Linked DNA regions of Mus musculus. The protein of the gene in region 2 purifies or fractionates together with the protein of the main gene of each other region. This does not show direct contact. Links are inferred from orthologs where the notes say so. Each region holds a gene or a part of one and is shown on either strand. Other genes may lie near its edges.

Region 1 (4,247 bases), on a different chromosome or scaffold from region 2:
TCTCCCTCCCACCACTCTCTATACACACACACACACACACACACACACACACACACAAAACAAAATACCAGTTCTATCTGTGTCCAAAGCCTGTGCTCTAGATCATGAGCTTGGTTTAATGTTCAATTTTAACCTAAAACCTTTGAATACCTTAAAATTTTTATGTTTTATATGAAACTGTGACCTTACAAGTCTGAATATTTATATGAAAAGTAAAATGTACTTGAATTCCTATGGTAATGGATCGTATTCCTTTTGGAATTAAAAAGAAATGCTGCTGGCCATCTATACCAAATTCTTCACTTAAGGAATAACAAAAACAGAAGCTTTTTCAAAAACTTCTACATGCCTAATCTAAACTGCCACATTTTCAATCCAGAAACAGTGACTCTACAACTGATTTTCCAAAGCATTATTTTTATTATCAGTATGTCTAATAGTTAAATACTATGTGGTATATAACATGGTATCTCATTTCACTGTTTAAAAAAGTAAAAACACTTGAGGACACAAAATGAGACTATTACAGGACTACAATCAACAGAAACCTTAAATATCACTGAGGCACGTTACAGAAAGCTTTAAAATGGCATCCTTAACCATATAAACTGGGAAGTAACCATTTCTTTCATGAATTCAATTTACATTCATTTAGCTCAACTATGGGTTCATAGTCACTTTACTAGCCCTGTCATGTGACTAAATCCAAGCTCATTTCAAGGGAAAGGCTGTACTATGCTGTATTTAGAACATATTATCACTAAGAGCAGATGAGTCTTTGTAGGCCTATCCAAAAACCTTGCCTTAGTTGCTAAGAAACTACAATTTACCATATTATAAATCATCAGAAATAACTTATGCCAGCAGAGATTAAGTATCTAAGATCAAGAATCTCTCATCTATAGTGCAAAATGAAACTGTTATTTCCACAAATAACTGAAATCAGAATTAAACTCACATTGTTATCACATCTATGATAAATAACACATATTTATATACATAGATACCAAGCATAGAGGGAGCAAATCAGGCTAACTTTACCCTTTCCCTTCTACAGCTTCATACTTGAAGGAAAAGGGGGTGGAAGTGTCCATATCCTTAGGATATTCAATGTAAGAAACAAATGTTTCCTTTCTGGCTCATGAAGTAATAAAGCCATGGGGCATAAAATTCCCTTGTAAAGGGAATATTTGATAAAGTGACTTTTTTTCCAATACTAAATGTGATACATTATTACTGTATCCGCTAGCATTTTAAGCTCAGTTTGTCTTCAAAATACTCAACTCCACTGGCTCTGACTGATTTTTGTTTTAATGAAAGCCACTTCAAATTGTTTTAGCATAACAACGAAGAAATTCAGAGATTAAAACTAATGACTAATGTATGGCTCCCTATCCCTAACCAACTTCTCATTAATTTTTTTCATGTTTAAAATAGAAATCTTTAAACCTCCTAATAGTTGTTTCCACAATAGCTGAATTAGGTTCATTATCCCTTTAGGTTTGTATCTGAATGTGCGGTTCAACAACGGACTGTGACAATTCCAACAGAATCTGTCATGTTTAGCTCCCCAAGCCTATTATCTTTCACCATCTTCTCTAAAGAGCTTCAGTTCGCAACCCAATTCTCACTTCCACTGTACCTTAAACCCAACCCAGAGACCACATTCATATTCCTCAGAAATAACATCTTTGCAATCTTGAAACTTTCAGTTCTAAAAGCCCACTTCCTCCATCTCCCCTGCCACCATCTCTCATTGCCCTCAATCCCACCACTGCAGATGTGGCTGTGTCCCAGCCCTCCCCAAAGGCCGAACTAGCATCATAAAGCATTTGCCACAACTCGTCCCCTCCCTAATGTATCCGCCGCGCTACAAAGCAACATTACACCCCCGACTTCCTGCATTTTACTCTCTTCCCTTATTTTTCCGTCTTCCCCCACTCCCACCACTATACCCAGGCACCCTTTACTTCCCTGATATTTCTTCTACCTCGGTTTTAAAGCTTTCCCCGCATCCTCTGCTCATTTTCCTCTCCTTATTTAGAAACTCCCTTTTGCTTTCCCAACCGCTACCCTAGAATGCCCAGCACTCCACCCTCCTTGGCAAAACCCAATCCTCTTCCCCCAGCTCGTTTGGAGACACTGCTGCTTCTCTTCTCCAGGTCCCCCTACTGCAGTCAACCCACTCCATCTTTCCACCCACCTTCCCTCTACCCCCAAATCCAAGGTTTCCCGAATCGCTCACTAACCCCTCTCCTTGAGAGACTCAAGCAGTCTGCTGCCTCTAGGTATTCTACGGGATCCTTTTGACCCCAGCTTCCCCCCTCCTCCCATTTTGCAGAATGTCACCCGGGTTCCAGGGCCCCAGTAGAATCCCGGGTGTCAGCGCCCGCGGAGCCCGGTTCTCTCGCCGACACCACCCCTCCGCCAGCTCGAACTCGAACGCCTGTCTCCCGCCGCTTTCTCCAGAGCCGCCCCCGCTACTCCAGCTCCCGGTGCGCGATGAGCCCTACGCCGCGGACCTGTCTACAGAGCCCCGGGCTCGCACCAAAGCGACGCCTCCACCTCTCCGCGAAGCACCTCCTCGCCTCAGCCGGGTCGCCCGCTGCCGGCTCCGGCATCCCCCTCAGGCCTGGGCCCGGCCCCTCTGGTTGCCAGAGCCGGGCGCCCCCGCCCGACCCGCCCCCGGCCCCTCGGCTTACCGTTCTGAGCAGCGCCTGGCCCTGGAAGGAGCGAGCCAGAGACCAGCAAGAGCGAGAGGGCCAGGGCGCCGGGGAGCGACGAGCCCGACATCCTCCCTAGCCGGAGAGCGCGCAGCGAATGGGCCGGGGCCGGGGCCGGGGAAAGGGAGGGGAGGGAGGGAGGGGGCGGGCGAGCGCGCGCGCGAGGGAGTGAACGAGGGAGGCAGCCGCGGCCGAGCTCCGTCCTTCCCTGTCCTCCTCCTACCGCCGCAGCGTCCAAGCCTCGCGAGACCTCCGCTGGCGGCCGTGGGCGGGCCAGGAGCACCGGCGGCAAGGCTCGCGAGAAGAGGCCCTCTTCCCCCCCCTCCCCAAGTCCCCGCCCCTGCAGAGGCTGATTGGCCAAGCACAAGGGCGGTCACGTGCGAAGGGCGCTTTTGGCCACGTGACGGGGCGAGGCGGGGACTCCACCCGCTCCTTCTCCCACGGGGGAAGACGGCGGAGTACAGTTCTCACTTCTATGGGATCCTAGCGCTCAGAAATTAGAGGAAGCATTGAGAAAACAATGCTCCCCCCACCCATCCTGCCTTTCATGCGTTACTGCTCGAAGCTTCAGAAATGGATACCCTAGACCCTGCTTTTGAGCTTCCTATTAGTACCCCTTATCAAAACCCTGCTTTTCCTTCTGGACTTTGACCAGAGACCCCTAGAGGTATCTGGCCACAACCTCTCTGCCTCGTGGATTTTTTTTTCCCTTCCAGGCAGTGTTAACGATCGCTGTGCTTCCTTGCACGGACATCTGTTCCCTCAGCCTTCAAGTGTCCTCCTTTTCCTCCCTACCTGTGCCCTCCCCACCCCTCTTTGGCCTTATTTTAGCTTCACAAGCTCTGAGGGCCTGAAGAGCTAGCCTGTGCAGGGCTACAGATCCAATTCTACAAGGAAGTCACAGTGTGTCCAGTAATAGGCAGAACCTTTGGTAGAGGAAACCCGTAAGAAAATAGTTTCCACTCAGTTCACTGTTCAGCCTGGTGTATCAGAGATGACCCACAGGAAAGGGGCAATCAAAAAGGAGTTTAGCCATGTTGCATAGAAAGTTGAGAAATGCCTTCTTTTGCGGTGAGAGAGTACTGGGGAGATGTCATAGTCCTTAAAAATGCTTGATACACAAACGTGAAGACCTGAGTTTCCCCAGCATAAAACAGAAAAGGATGGCCACCAGAGCCAACGCTGTAATCTGAGTCTGGAGAAGAGAAGAGCTCTCTGGTTTGCTAACTAGTCTGCCTAGCCGATCGATGAGGTCTAGGCTCAGTGAGGGACCCTACCTCAAAAACTGAGTATTCTCCAAAAAAAAAAAAAAAAGAAAGAAAGAAAGAAAGAAAAAGAATAGTTAAGGGAGATACCCGAAGGCAACTTCTGGCCTCCCAGTGCGGGCACACAGGCTCTCGAACACAAACACAGATTTGGGGGAGTTGGCTTGTTTGTTTTCCCTGAACCACCCTCAGCACTTGTGGTTAGCAAAGGAGTGTTTTCTGTGGCTTAGCTCATCTATGAGTCACAACAGACATCCTC
Region 2 (3,812 bases):
AGCCTGCATCACTTTCCAGTGACATCCTTCTGTTGACTTGGCCTAGCTCCCACTACCCACTAGACCTTGAATTTGGGATCATAACATCTGACTTGCAAGCTTGCTTTGAAAAGACAAAGTTAATCCACATAAGCGCGCTTCATAGTTGCTGACCAAAAAAAAAAAAAAAAAAAAAAAAAGCTAAACTAATGCTGGGTATATATCTCCATGCTCAGCAAGCAGGTAGAGACTAAACCTGGTAGAGATATCTGTCTGAGCAGCACTGGGAAACCCTTGTCTTGACTCCTGAGTAGATACGCTATTCCCCCTCCCCTCCCCTGAGAACAGCCTCGAGCCACTCTGCTGTCCAAGCCCCACCCAACCTGAGTGATGCAGGCTCCAGTGAAAGCCACAATCACGGCCACCACATTGACAGTGAGCTGGAACTGTAGGAACTTGGAAATGCTGTCATACACATTCCGTCCCCACATCACTGCCTTCACAATGCTGGTGAAGTTGTCATCGGTCAGGATGATGTCTGACGCCTCCTTAGCCACATCTGTGCCTGCGATGCCCTGGGGTGGAGAGGAAGGCAGGCGGGAAGCAGTTAAGGGCACGCAGCACAATCTGAACCCAGGGCCTAAGAACCCGGAAGCCTCAGAACCAGGTGCAGGCATGGAGGGCATTGAAGCTACAACAGAAAACAACCACCCTCCCCACCTTGCTTCCCTGCCACTCTGCAGGAAAGACTATAAGTGATCAAGAGATGGGACGGCATCCTCTAGCCCCTCTCAGAGTCTCTTGCAAGGCCAACTCACTAGGTGGCCAAGGCTGGCCTCAGATTCCTGATTTTCCTGTCTCTACTTCCCAAGTGCTGGTGCACATCACCATATACAGCCCTGATCTGTTTCTATTATACATTGTGCAACCTCTAACCCACTGGGGCTTATTATTCCTGTAAAGTCTTTAAACTTTTTAGATGTTTATTTATGAGTCTTGATGCATACGTGCCCATGTGTACAGGTACCCGCAGAGGCTAGAGTAGGGTACTGGATCCTCTGAATAAGGAATTATAGGCAGGCGTGAGCCATTCAAGGTAAGTGCAGCAAACTGAACTCAGGTCCTCCGTAAGAGCAGCAATTGCTCTTAACTGTGGAACCATCTCTCTAGCCCCAGGAGACTTCTTCTTTATTCTGGTGTGTAGTATATTATTCTGTTTGCCTAGTAATATTATTTTACTATCTAGATTGAAGCAAATGAAGACTATCTAGATTACAAGTACATAATGCAGTTTTCCTATCAAAAAGTTCCGCCGGGTGGTGATGGTGCAGTGCCTTTAATTCCAGCAGTCAGGAGGCAGAGGCAGGTGGATGTCTGTGAGTTCGAGGCCAGCCTGGTCTACAGAGTGAGTTCCAGGACAGCCAGGGCTACAGAGAGAAACCCTGTCTTGAAAAAAAAACAAAACCAAACCAGAACAAAACAAAAATTAAAATGTTCCACAGCGCAGGGCATGGTAGCTTGTCTATAATACCGAGGCAGGAGGTTAGGCTAGGCGATCCTGCCCCTTCCCCCAAACTTCAATAAAGCCACATGCTGCCGTCATCTGTGCAGCATCTGTGCAGCATCTGTGCACTGTGAAAAGAAACAAGACGAGAGATGTGCTTGGGTCTGCTCACTACTATGACATAATCTTCAGGCTTCACTGTTAACTGAACAGAAGAGAGCTGGGAAAGAACATACAGACGTTACCTACCATTAACCTAGGAGGAAGGAGTACGTATATTATATATCATATATTATCATATATTATACTAACAAAAAAGATTTGTTTTTATTTTGTGTGTATGGGTGCTTTGCCTGCATGTCTGTGCACCAGGCACCTGTGGAGACCAGGAGCGGGCATTAGGGCCCCTGGAACTGGAGGTATGGACGGTTGTTACTGTCACATTGGGCGCTGGAACCCAAGCCTGGGTCCTCTGGACCAGCGGCCAGTGCTCTTAGCTGCTAAGCCATCTCTCTGGCTCCTATGTGATTGTTTTCTATTTATTTATGTTTGCTTTTGTTTCTTGGTTTTTGAGACAGGGTTTCTCTGTGTAGCCCTGGCTGTCCTGGAACTCACTCTGTAGACAAGAGGCTGGCCTCGAACTCACAGACATCCACCTGCCTCTGCCTCCTGACTGCTGGAATTAAAGGCACTGCACCACCACTGTCTGGCTCAGCCCTTACCTTTAATTTAAAAAGTTAAATGATTTCATTCTATGTGCATGGGTGTTTCACCTGCAAGTATGTCTGTGCACCAAGAGCAGGCTTGCTGCTCCCAGAAGCCAGAAGAGGCCATTAGATCCCATGGAAATAGAGTCACAGGCAGCTGTGAGCCACCAAGTGGGTGCTGGGAATAGAACCTTGGTCCTCAGGAAAAGTAGCCCAAGTCTCTAAACATTTTTCCAGCCTCTATTTTTTAATTTAAAATTATGTGGTTTTAGTAATTTGATGTAAGATATAGCTACAGATAAAAAACAATAAGAGTAATACGTATATGTACATGTACAGAATCACCAAACAATAATAACTAATTTAAAAAAGATAAATATTTAACTCTGTGTGGTGGTACATGCATATGATTTCAGGACTCAGGAAGCTAAGGACTGTGAGTTTAAGGCTTTCCTGGGCTACATAGTAAGGTTGAGGCCAACCTAGGTTCCTAGTGAGATGCTATCTCAAAATAAAATAAGAGAATATTTTTAGTAATTATTTCATTATTGTTGTTATTTTATAACTATTGCATAGTTTTTAGACAAAGTCAAAAATTGCACTAACGGCATTAGAGGTCACAGGTTTTATCTCAAGAACTGCAAATATAAAATTAGGGAAGCTAGACACACAGGAGAGAATTAGAAGCATAGCATTCCAGAATTTTAAGCGAGAAACATGAAGACAACCAATTTAGGAAGCATTTCACCTTAAAAACAGGTAGAGAAACTCAGCCAGGCCACAAAAGCTCACTTCTTAGCTCTGTTATCCACTCAGTAGCATCTGACACGGTATGCGCTCAGAGGGGAGATGCTCCTCTCTGCTCTGACTGTATTCCCTAGTGTGGCCTAGTGAGGCAGGGCACACTGAGGCAATGCATGATACCAGACCGGAAATAAGAAATAGGCTCAGCGGGCTGGTGAGATGGCTCAGTGGGTAAGAGCACCCGACTGCTCTTCCGAAGGTCAGGAGTTCAAATCCCAGCAACCACATGGTGGCTCACAACCATCCATAACGAGATCTGACTCCCTCTTCTGGAGTGTCTGAAGACAGCTACAGTGTACTTACATATAATAAATAAATAAATCTTTAAAAAAAAAAAAAGAAAGAAAGAAATAGGCTCAGCCAGGTGGTGGTGGCGGCACATGCCTTTAATCCCAGCAACCCGGGAAGCAGAGACAGGTAGATTTCTGAGTCTGAGGCCAGCATGGTCTATAGAGAGTTCCAGGACAGCCAGCCAAGGCTATACACAGAGAACATGTCTCAACAAAACAAAACAAAACAAAACAAAACAAAACACCACCACCACTACCAACAACAAGGCTCAACCTCTCTGCAGTGTCTTATCAGGCAAGAAACCAAAAAAAGCAATAAAAGACACCTGGGGTTACATCAAAAGCTCTCAGAGACACTGAAGGGGTGACTCCTGGCTAATGAGGGATCGGTTTCAGCATCAAGACAATAATAAGAGTAATGGATTGAAGCATATCGTATCTATATTCAATTTTCCCCATTTGGGCTGTAGGTACCTCAGAGTTCTTGTCTGACATGCTTGAGGCCCTAGGCTCAATCCCAGAACTGAA

Evidence for each region.
Region 1: the proteins of Atp2b4 (region 2) and Nptn purify together in Homo sapiens (co-immunoprecipitation; 3 studies listed by BioGRID and IntAct, with this or other methods). This does not show direct contact. The link is inferred for Mus musculus from reciprocal best matches to the Homo sapiens genes ATP2B4 and NPTN.

The regions. Positions count from the first base shown.
Region 1 is NC_000075.6:58,580,982-58,585,228, reverse strand, and holds the start of Nptn (neuroplastin isoform 3 precursor), read right to left. Parts: upstream 2,990-4,247; 5' UTR 2,794-2,989; coding exon 2,703-2,793; intron 1-2,702. UniProt on the Homo sapiens protein: Probable homophilic and heterophilic cell adhesion molecule involved in long term potentiation at hippocampal excitatory synapses through activation of p38MAPK. May also regulate neurite outgrowth by activating the FGFR1 signaling pathway.
Region 2 is NC_000067.6:133,718,962-133,722,773, forward strand, and holds part of Atp2b4 (plasma membrane calcium-transporting ATPase 4), read right to left. Parts: intron 555-3,812; coding exon 363-554; intron 1-362. UniProt on the Homo sapiens protein: Calcium/calmodulin-regulated and magnesium-dependent enzyme that catalyzes the hydrolysis of ATP coupled with the transport of calcium out of the cell. By regulating sperm cell calcium homeostasis, may play a role in sperm motility.